Regions from separate parts of the Mus musculus genome. Here region 1 is reported to be linked to region 2. Evidence: microRNA targets listed by miRTarBase, many of them from high-throughput screens and not tested one by one. Region 2 holds a microRNA gene; the other region holds the end of a gene's coding sequence.

Region 1 (4,379 bases), not on the chromosome of region 2:
GGTGTCCAGCCAGGTGGGGAGGAGTCAAGGGGACAAGAGCAGCTTGTTTGCTTGGCACCTTGTGCCACCTCGAGTGCCCCTGGGATGTGGGCTGGGCCACCGGAGAGCTGACCCCTCTGACTCTTCCTCTTCCCCCAGGAAGCCAAAGGCAGCAGTGGCAGCAGCACGGTACAGCGGTCTAAGGTAGGGTCCTAAGGGTGGGTGTGGGCAGAGGAAAGGGTCGGCGCTAACCCGGCTTCTTGCTAAGTGTACTCTGCTCCTACTCCACAGTCCTTTAGCTTGCGGGCTCAGGTGAAGGAGACCTGTGCAGCCTGCCAGAAGACTGTGTACCCGATGGAGCGGCTGGTGGCAGACAAGCTCATTTTCCACAACTCTTGTTTCTGTTGCAAACACTGCCACACCAAACTCAGGTGCGCTCCTGCCCTGTCCCGGCCTGCCCACCTACTTGCCCACCCTTACCCTACCTTCCCGCCCTGCCCCAGACTGACCCAGATGTTCTCTGCTTCCACAGCCTGGGCAGTTATGCTGCAATGCACGGTGAATTTTACTGCAGACCTCACTTTCAGCAGCTGTTTAAGAGTAAAGGCAACTACGATGAAGGGTTTGGTCGTAAACAGCACAAGGAGCTCTGGGCCCACAAGGAGGTGGACTCAGGCACCAAGACGGCCTGAGACCCCTTTAACACCCATTCCCTCCCAGCACATGGCCTCCCGCTGGGCAGTGGAAAGGAGATTAACCCGGGGGCGCGGGGTGGGAGAGGATGAGGCTCCCTCACACAGGTTTCAGGCATAAGGCTCTGCTCCAGGATTCCTTACTTTTCCCATGGGAGGTTGGCGTTGGGAACCAGAATTGGAATTTTCACCATACTGTGTCCTTTAGTCCACCTCATCTCACCCCACGGCTCCCTGGGAGGCCCACAAGCCCAGCTTCCCTACTTAGGTGCCTTTTCTCCAGCAAGGAGTCAGCATGCCCTCCTCAGGGTCCCAAGCTCCCTCACTGCCACCTGGGCCTTGTGTACCCCCTTGTCTCCCCATCTACCTCTGCCCCTTAGCCTGGTAATGAGCCACAGAGACTGGAAGAGGGAGAGTGCCATCTACTGGGCCTCATAGATGCCACCTCGCTGAGGGGGGAGGGCTGGGGAAGAGGCAAGACAGCCTGCAGCCTTCAGGGTCTGGGGGTCCCTTGCACCACAAAGCTAAAGCTCTTGCTAGAGCCTCAGCTGACAGGGTCGGCAGTAGCTATGCTCCTCCATCTGTTGTGCTGTTCTGTTGTGATCAACCCTCTTTTAAAAACATTTAAACAGCTCTTGACTCTCTTGTGTGGCCTGATGGGGATGCTTTGTGGCAGGCATGCAGCAGACTCCTCATAGCGAGGGGAATGGAGGACAGCCCACAATACTCCTGGCCTTAAAGGGGCTGGTGGTCTGTGCCACCTTGGGGTGTTAAGCTGTCAAACCTGAAATCCCACTGTGTATCCTCGTCCCAGAGTAGCCAGGCACACTGGCTTGCAACCACACAAATGTTTTGGGTTTTTGAGACAGGGTCTCACTGTAGCTCTGATTGGCCTAGAACACAGAGATCTGCCTGCCTCTGCTTCCAAAGTGCTGGGATTAAAAAGGCCTGTGTCATCCATGCCTGGCTTCGGTTCTTCAGAGGTTAATTCACTACACTTGAGTACAGAAGAGAACCTTTCTGACTTGGCCAAGACCTTAGTGTCTGCCTTTCTGCTAGCTGATTCCAGCTGTCCAATTTCCTCCTAGTCCTTTACCCTAGAAATCTGCAAAGAATGGTAGGAATCCATAGCCTATCAAGTGCTGCCAGTACAACGTCTTCCACCTTCTCTCCTCATGACTGTCATCTTCCTGGAGCCTCTTGTATGAAGTGGGATGTCACAGCTACTGTGCCAGGACCTCCAGGGGCAAACTTTGCGCTCCTCAGAGTTCATGCACACTGAGGGACGACATCACACAGCAGAAGCACAAGGCAAGTGTGAAGATGCTCCCTCAGTGGAAGTCTGAGTTGTCTCGCCCCAAGCCCTATTTTCCTGGCTTCTGCAAACTGCCTATGGGACAGATGAATCGGTAAGCAAGAGGTCAAAGGCTGCTAGGCAGCCCGGCCTCTGGTCTTGCTAATGGGTGAATCACTGTAGACTTCCTTCAGGTGGGCATCTGGGAAGCAGGCACGACAAAGCCTTGGATTTATGGGACAAGGATGGTCTCTTGCTGCAGTAAAGAAACAGTGGCTGGGCTGGACGTGGCAGCACATGCTTTTAATACCAGCACTCAGGAGGCAGAGGCAGGTGGGTCTCTGTGCATTCAAGATCAGCCTGTTCTATGTAGTGAGTTCCAGGACAGCAGAGCTACATAGTGAGACCTTGCCTCTGACTGATGTTCTGTAAGGGACCAAGGGAAACCCCTCGGCCAGGAAGACTACAAAATGCCATGAATGGTCCTAGGAACTCAGCTATTGATGGATTCGGCTCAGATGGACAACCAGTGCTGTCCCAGTGACGCGCTGGGATAAAAGGGAAGGAGAGGGGCCACCTTGGCCAAGTTATCACAGGCTGCTTTTGGCAGCCATTTCAAGTTCTATTTAAGAGGCCTCAACTTGGGTGTTAGGCATTGTACCCAACCCATCCCTGTAAAAATTCCCACCACCACCTTTAACCGAAAGCATGGTCACAGGACCCTTCTGATATAAATGATCCCTTTTATTGTAAGTAATGCACTGGCCTGGCTTTGCACTGCAAGCCCTCAGTCAAGATATAGTCAATAACTATGGCTGCAGGTTCTTCTGCACATTCCACAATTCAGACACAGAGCTGGGCAAGTGGGAGGGAGGGGAAGGAGGGTGGCAGCGTGCACCTGACCCAGGCTTGGCCCTTCCATGTGGGGTTGGTGAAGGCAGATAAACCCCATGGAATGAAGAACAAATGAAGGTGGTGTAGCATCTTTGCACAGCAGGCCAAGGGCTGCTAGGAAACCTTCCTTCATAACCTTTGGGCCCAGGCCACCCTGGAGGCCCACAACTTGTCATTTGGATTTGTTAATAAGAAAAAAATAAATTAACAGCTTGGTCCTGAGGCTGCTGAACCAGCATGTCCACAGTTTTTGGCACAAAAAAAGGTGTCTCCCCCCCACCCCCCCTTTGGAGTGCAGAATTTGTTGGTTTACTTTTAAGTTCATTTTAGAAACATTGCCTATGAGGTAATACACTCCCCCCCCCCCCCCATGGGGATATGGGGGGAGCTCCGTGAGAGCCTGAACCTGTGACAAGCAGAGTTGTCTCATCTAACATCTTGTCACCCCACCAATCTCTATCTCCTTTGGGTTCGGGGTGTGGATAGGGATAGGCTAAAGGGTGCTATATAGCCATCAGGATGGGGTCATGGAGAGGCCCAGCTGCCTTTTGGCAGCTTTGGTCTAGAAGAGGGGCCAGTCCCTACTTTGGGCAAAGGCTGAGGTGGAAGCAGGACTTTGCTCACTGGCTTCAGAGCAGTTAGAGAGTGGCCTGACAGACCCCCAAGGGAAAGGAAATAAAACAGAGGGGCCCAGGCCCAATTGGCACCGTGCAACACACATATCTGCAAAACCAGCTGCTTTCAATTTCTGTTCTCTCTTCAGGAGTCCATCACCGGTAACAGTCTAGAATTGATATATATATATAAAACCATCAAATATGGATCTGAGATATAAATTAACAAGTACAAGGCCTCACATTACATGATGTGAAAAGGCTAAAAACAGCGATAGAAACTACATTCATAAAAGTGCATCGTCAACATACAACGAAGGCTTTGGCTTGTTCTGTGCCCATGGGGAAGTGGGCATGGCTGGCAAAGAGCTGCCTGGCACTAATCCCCAGCTCCCTGGAGATGCCCATCCCTGGGCACTGGCTTCTTTTTTTTTTTTTTCCTTTCCTTTAATGATAACTCCCAAAAATTTGGGAGTTAGGAGGGAGGAGCTCTAGAAATAGGCACATTTGGAGGGGAAGAAAGGGGCTGGAAGAAAGGACCAGCACCCAGGCTGAGGTAAATATGGCCAACTCTAAGCTGCTTGGAGATAACTCTTTCCCTAGCCCCTACTGGCATCCTCCTTTGTGGGAGGAACAAGAAGGGAATGAGGTTGATGACAAGTGGACAGGTCGGGCTGAGGAACACAGCTGGTGGCTTTGGACACGGTTGTGGCAGCTCAAGGACTTTCCCATGGAGTGGGCTCAGGCCTGACAGATTTGAGATGCAGACAGCCTGAGACAACCCCCTGCACTCTGCTGAGCTGCCCAGAACCAGGTGCCCTGACTTGTGTTGTCTACTTTCTCTGCTCCAGTGAGGGAACAGAGGGCAGGCCAGGGGGCAGAGGCCATCAGCTCTTCCATCCAGTC
Region 2 (4,379 bases):
CAGAGCCGTGATCTCAAGGTGAAGTGGGGCTCCGGGAGCACTGATGCGAAGACAAGCACACGGGCTGGGGCAGGTGGGCATGCACCTCAGGGGAACTCACCACAGGCCCCGTGCTCCCTCCCAGGTGATGACAGATGTGGCAGGGAACCCCGAGGAAGAACGCAGGGCTGAGTTCTACCACCAGCCCTGGTCCCAGGAAGCCGTTAGCCGCTACTTCTACTGTAAGGTAATGGAGGCCCAGGAACCCGAGGCTCCCTCTCCTTCAGTCCTGGCAGCCTTGCCTCTCACCTGGCCACAGTTACCTGTCCACCACCCTACACCCCCATGCAGTAGTCTCCTGGTTCCCAGACTCTTCCAGGGGAGGGGTGCCAGGATGGGGTACCCCTGGTCACTCACCAGGATCACTGTAACCCTGCCCCGCTCACACTTCCTCTAAAGATCCAGCAGCGCAGGCAGGAGCTGGAGCAGTCGCTGGTCGTGCGCAACACCTAGGAGCCCGTGAACAAGCGTCAGGGTGGACCAGCCACTCCGCCCAGCACAGGCCCTGGGCTCTGGACTCCCCCTCTCGCGCTGTGCGGAAGGTGGGGAGGGCTGGATGGATTAAAGGTCACGTAACAGACAGCAGCCTTGTGGTCATTGTGGACGGGGATGGGAAGGAGGAAGAGAAGGGGAAGGCAGTGGAAGCCGGCAGACAAATTCTCCACAACCCTACCACAGATTCTTCTTCTTACCCCTCTCCCTAGACCTAAAAACAGTTTGGCAGAAGATACGTTTAATAACATTTCTTATTTTTAAAAAAATACAGTGGCAAGCCCTCCATCTGTCCGTCACCTTGCCTTGCCCTTCCCGGGGCTATGGCAGATACAGGGGTGGAGAGGCTAAGTGCTGTTGGCCTGTTCCTGTTCAAACAGAGCCATGGCTAGCTGGGTACGGGCCCCCAGCCCCTCCAGATTGCTGAGGCGACAACGGTGGTACAGTTCCTCGCTGAGCCGGGGGCTACAGTCCCGCAGAGAGAACTTCTGCACCAGCCCTGGCTCTACGGCTCGAAAGAGGTGGAGCCCTGAGAACCGGAGGAAAACATCCATCACCTCCAGCCCCTCCAGGGCTTCCTCCTCTTCCTGGCCTGCCAGTTCGCCAGCCAGCCGGGCGCGGGCTGCCAGGTAGTCAGCATTGTAGAAGCAGCCCTCTGCTGAAGCCTGCCGGTCAAATCTGCCCCCGACCGGAGCCCCCCTAGAAGGGTCCACACCAGGGGAGGGGGGATCAGCCCCAGGGACACCTGGGGGAGATCTCTGTGGTGACAGAGCAGGGTTGAACTCCTGAAAGTGGACCGGAAAGAAGGCCTGCCAGCCCGAGATTGCATTCATACGGCAGCGGTTGAGGACTTCCGACCCAGGTCTTGTCCACACGGTGGTAAGGAAGAAGAGTGTGTCCACAGGGTGTTTCTTGGAGATGACATCCATGAGTCGCACCTGCGAAGGGGCCTCTGCTCGCACAGCGAGCCAGGCCAGCCTCGCCCCTGGGTACCGTCGTTCTAACTCAGCTGCTGCAGCCTTCACTCCGAGAAATGGGTCAGGGCCCCCTCGGCCTTCCCGGGGCCCATAGACCAACAACAGGGTGAGCAATGCATGTTCTCGAGGCTCCAGAACACTGGCAGCAAAGGCCTCAAGAAAAGCCAAGGCGGCCGGAGCTTCAGCCACCAGGAGTGGCAGCACCAGTTGCACCCGGGTAGCCTCGGTGACATAGGGCATAGGCAGGATTTCCACTCTGCTCAGTGGCCTCAGCAGGCTCACTCTGCGGGCCAGGGAGCGTCTGTGCCCTCGCTGAGTCACAGCTTCCAGCAGCAAGTCGAGGGTGTATTCCATGCCCCTTGCAGGGTCAAAGCGCCGGTAGCCATTGAGAAGCCGCTGCTTCCGGAAGCGCAGGCGGGGCTGATAGCGCCGATTGAGCTGCTCCAGAGCTGTGTCCACAGCGTCCCCTACATCTGCCCTGCTAGCCCCCTGCAGGGGACACTTGGGAGCCCCGTCTGCACAGGCGAAGGTGTGTTGCTCCGTGAAGTAGTCCCAGCCCAGCACCTCGAAGCGAGAGTGTGGAGTGAAAGGGGCCGGGAGCCCAACAGGCCAGCTTAGCCCTGCCTCCCCCTCAGGGGTCAGCACCGTCAGGTTCCGGATCTGGGCCTAAGTTGGAGGGAATGCAACCAACATTAGTGCTGGTTCTGAGATTCCACCCGGCTCCAGATGCCCAGGCTCTGGGGGTCCATCAGCAGGGCCTGGCTAACCACCGAGTCCCTTGCCCATAACTGTCATAATCTAAAATACAGAAGGGAGGCGAGGAATGCCCACCTTCACAACTGCCGCCAGGACCATCTGCTTGGCAGAAGGAAGCAGATCTCAAAATACACAGTTCAATACACTTTCAATCCCGCGCTCACAGGACCAACATCCTCTTCATGATCCTCTGACCTATCTATCAAATCTATACCCCACTTCTGATGACCCCCACACTACAGAATTCCCCTCTTCTATCTTTTGGGCCTTTAGCACAATTCTAGACGCCTAGAATGCTGCTGCCTGTCTCTCTGGGCAGAGCACTAATGTAGTTTAAGTAAGTTTCTGGGAGTTTACCTACAAATTTGACAAGCCAGAGCTTACTGTAGCTGGACCCCAGGCTGTCTCCACCCTAGCCCTGGACTCCCCAGGACCCCTCTAAGCTCCCAGCCATGGCCTTCAGGCACAGCTCACTGCAGTGGCTCACCTGCAGTTGTTCTATTTCGCTGTAAGCCCGCTCCAACTCCAGAGCACTGAAGCGTTTGTGGAGCCGGTACATGAGGGTGCCCTCGGGGACCGGGTGAACGGCGAAGGCACTCAGGAAAGCAGGGCTCTCCTCCTTCTCAGGGTCCCTATTCTTGGCCAGTTCGAAGGAGCGATACTGTTGCCCCTAGAGGGACCAATCAGACAATCAATGCTGCACACATAAGCTGTGGTTCCCCAAAGCCTTGGTCTCCTTAGCACTCACACCTGTCACCACCACCGCTCTAGAAGGGACTGAGAAGCAGTGGACCCCTAACCTCCATTCCTGCTTCTAATGCTCACATTTTGGAAATAAGGCAAATGGGCAACTAAGGGCCTCCTCTTTCCCCAAGAACCCCACTGCTCAATGAGAATACAGCTGTAGGACATCCCAGCAGGCAGGTGTGGAAGATGTCTTGCCCCTGGGATATCAGCCTTCTATGATAGAGCTTTCCACCTTGGGGGTGGGGGTGGGGGTAGGGCTAGGGTGGTGAACTCTAGAACATTTTCACCTTGTCCTTAATTGTGATGTGCACTGGGTGTGGAAAAGGGGGTGGGGAGGATGGCAGACAGGAAGGTTGATGACTTCAGGCACCTCTTCCTGTTTTGTTCAGGGGTCCCTAAAATTTCACACTTTTGATGGCCCCAGGGCTGTAAGGTGAGCAAGGGAGAGCGGAAGGGGCTAGCTGGCCTCTGGGAAGGACAAAAGGATGTCTGGAGAATTCAGTTTGGACAGCAATCATTCAGTCACTGCCAACCTTTGGGGGACTGGGACTGCCTTGAAGGGGCTGTCACCTGGTGCTGTGAGACACAGCCGATGCCCAGAGTGTCGATGAGGCAGCGGCCAAGCCATTCATCAGGCCGGGCACTGAGAATGTCCCCTCGGCAGCCATCCAGATGTGGCCGCAAGCGCAATAGGAGACTCCGTGACAACAGGTAGCCAAAGCCCCCATGGCAGTACCGGGCCTGCTCTCCTGTACCAATGAATTCCTCTGCATGGCCTAAGTACAGGTCTTGGTTGATGCTAAGGTGACCAGCAAGAGCTGCCAATCTGGGGGCCTGCACATATGTGTCGTCCTGCATGATGAAGAACCAGTCATAGTCTGCCCCAAAGTGTGTGTGAAGGTGGCGCAGGGTCTCTGACATGAGCCAGGCAGGCCGCTCATCTCCATGAGACACCACCTGCATCCCTGCAGGAGCCCGGGCCCCTCGCTGCCCTGTGAAGTAGAGTAACCGAGGGAAGTGATGTGCTACTGTACGGTTAACCGCGACGGCCAGGGTGGACAGTGTGGCTCGAGAAGTCAGGACAGCCACCAGCAGGCGCTCACGAGAGCCCAGCTCTGTCTGTATATACCGAGTCCTACGGAGAGACCAGAAGATAAGGGGTCAGCTCCTGAGTCATTAAGGGAGCGTGTACCAGCCTAGCACATACATTCCTAGGAATAAAGGAGTGCATTGGGAGAGGGGAGAGACCCCCCTCCCTCATCACTAATAACTAGCTACCGGGGTGAGTGCCCACTGAGTGGACGAGGCTGGACTTGGCTATGTGGAGACAGGCTCTACTCAGATCTATTTAGTAGGTTGGTGCAGGTA

Evidence for each region. The annotated mature microRNA mmu-miR-671-5p reads AGGAAGCCCUGGAGGGGCUGGAG and lies in region 2 at 1,089-1,111, opposite strand. An mRNA with a match to its seed (bases 2 to 7 or 8) in the 3' UTR can be bound and repressed. Matches are read on the target gene's strand: a 7mer-m8 pairs with bases 2 to 8, a 7mer-A1 pairs with bases 2 to 7 and ends in A, and an 8mer does both.
Region 1: the mRNA of Limd2 is a reported target of mmu-miR-671-5p. Seed matches in the 3' UTR shown: 7mer-A1 at 1,592-1,598.

Annotation. Positions count from the first base shown.
Region 1 is chr11:106,154,966-106,159,344 of GRCm38, reverse strand. Limd2 (LIM domain containing 2) reads left to right here. Exons shown (of 5, transcript NM_172397.4): 3 at 139-183; 4 at 271-410; 5 at 512-3,091. The coding sequence ends at 671. Map3k3 (mitogen-activated protein kinase kinase kinase 3) reads right to left here. Exons shown (of 16, transcript NM_011947.4): 16 at 2,689-4,379. Among named protein-coding and RNA genes, the nearest start is that of Gm10840, 2.2 kb to the left of the region's middle.
Region 2 is chr5:24,588,864-24,593,242 of GRCm38, reverse strand. Mir671 (microRNA 671) reads right to left here and starts at 1,129; the gene lies at 1,032-1,129. Chpf2 (chondroitin polymerizing factor 2) reads right to left here. Exons shown (of 4, transcript NM_133913.2): 2 at 3,582-4,146; 3 at 2,752-2,934; 4 at 756-2,174. The coding sequence ends at 879. It overlaps Smarcd3 (SWI/SNF related, matrix associated, actin dependent regulator of chromatin, subfamily d, member 3), which reads left to right. Exons shown (of 13, transcript NM_025891.3): 11 at 1-18; 12 at 125-226; 13 at 439-621. The coding sequence ends at 492.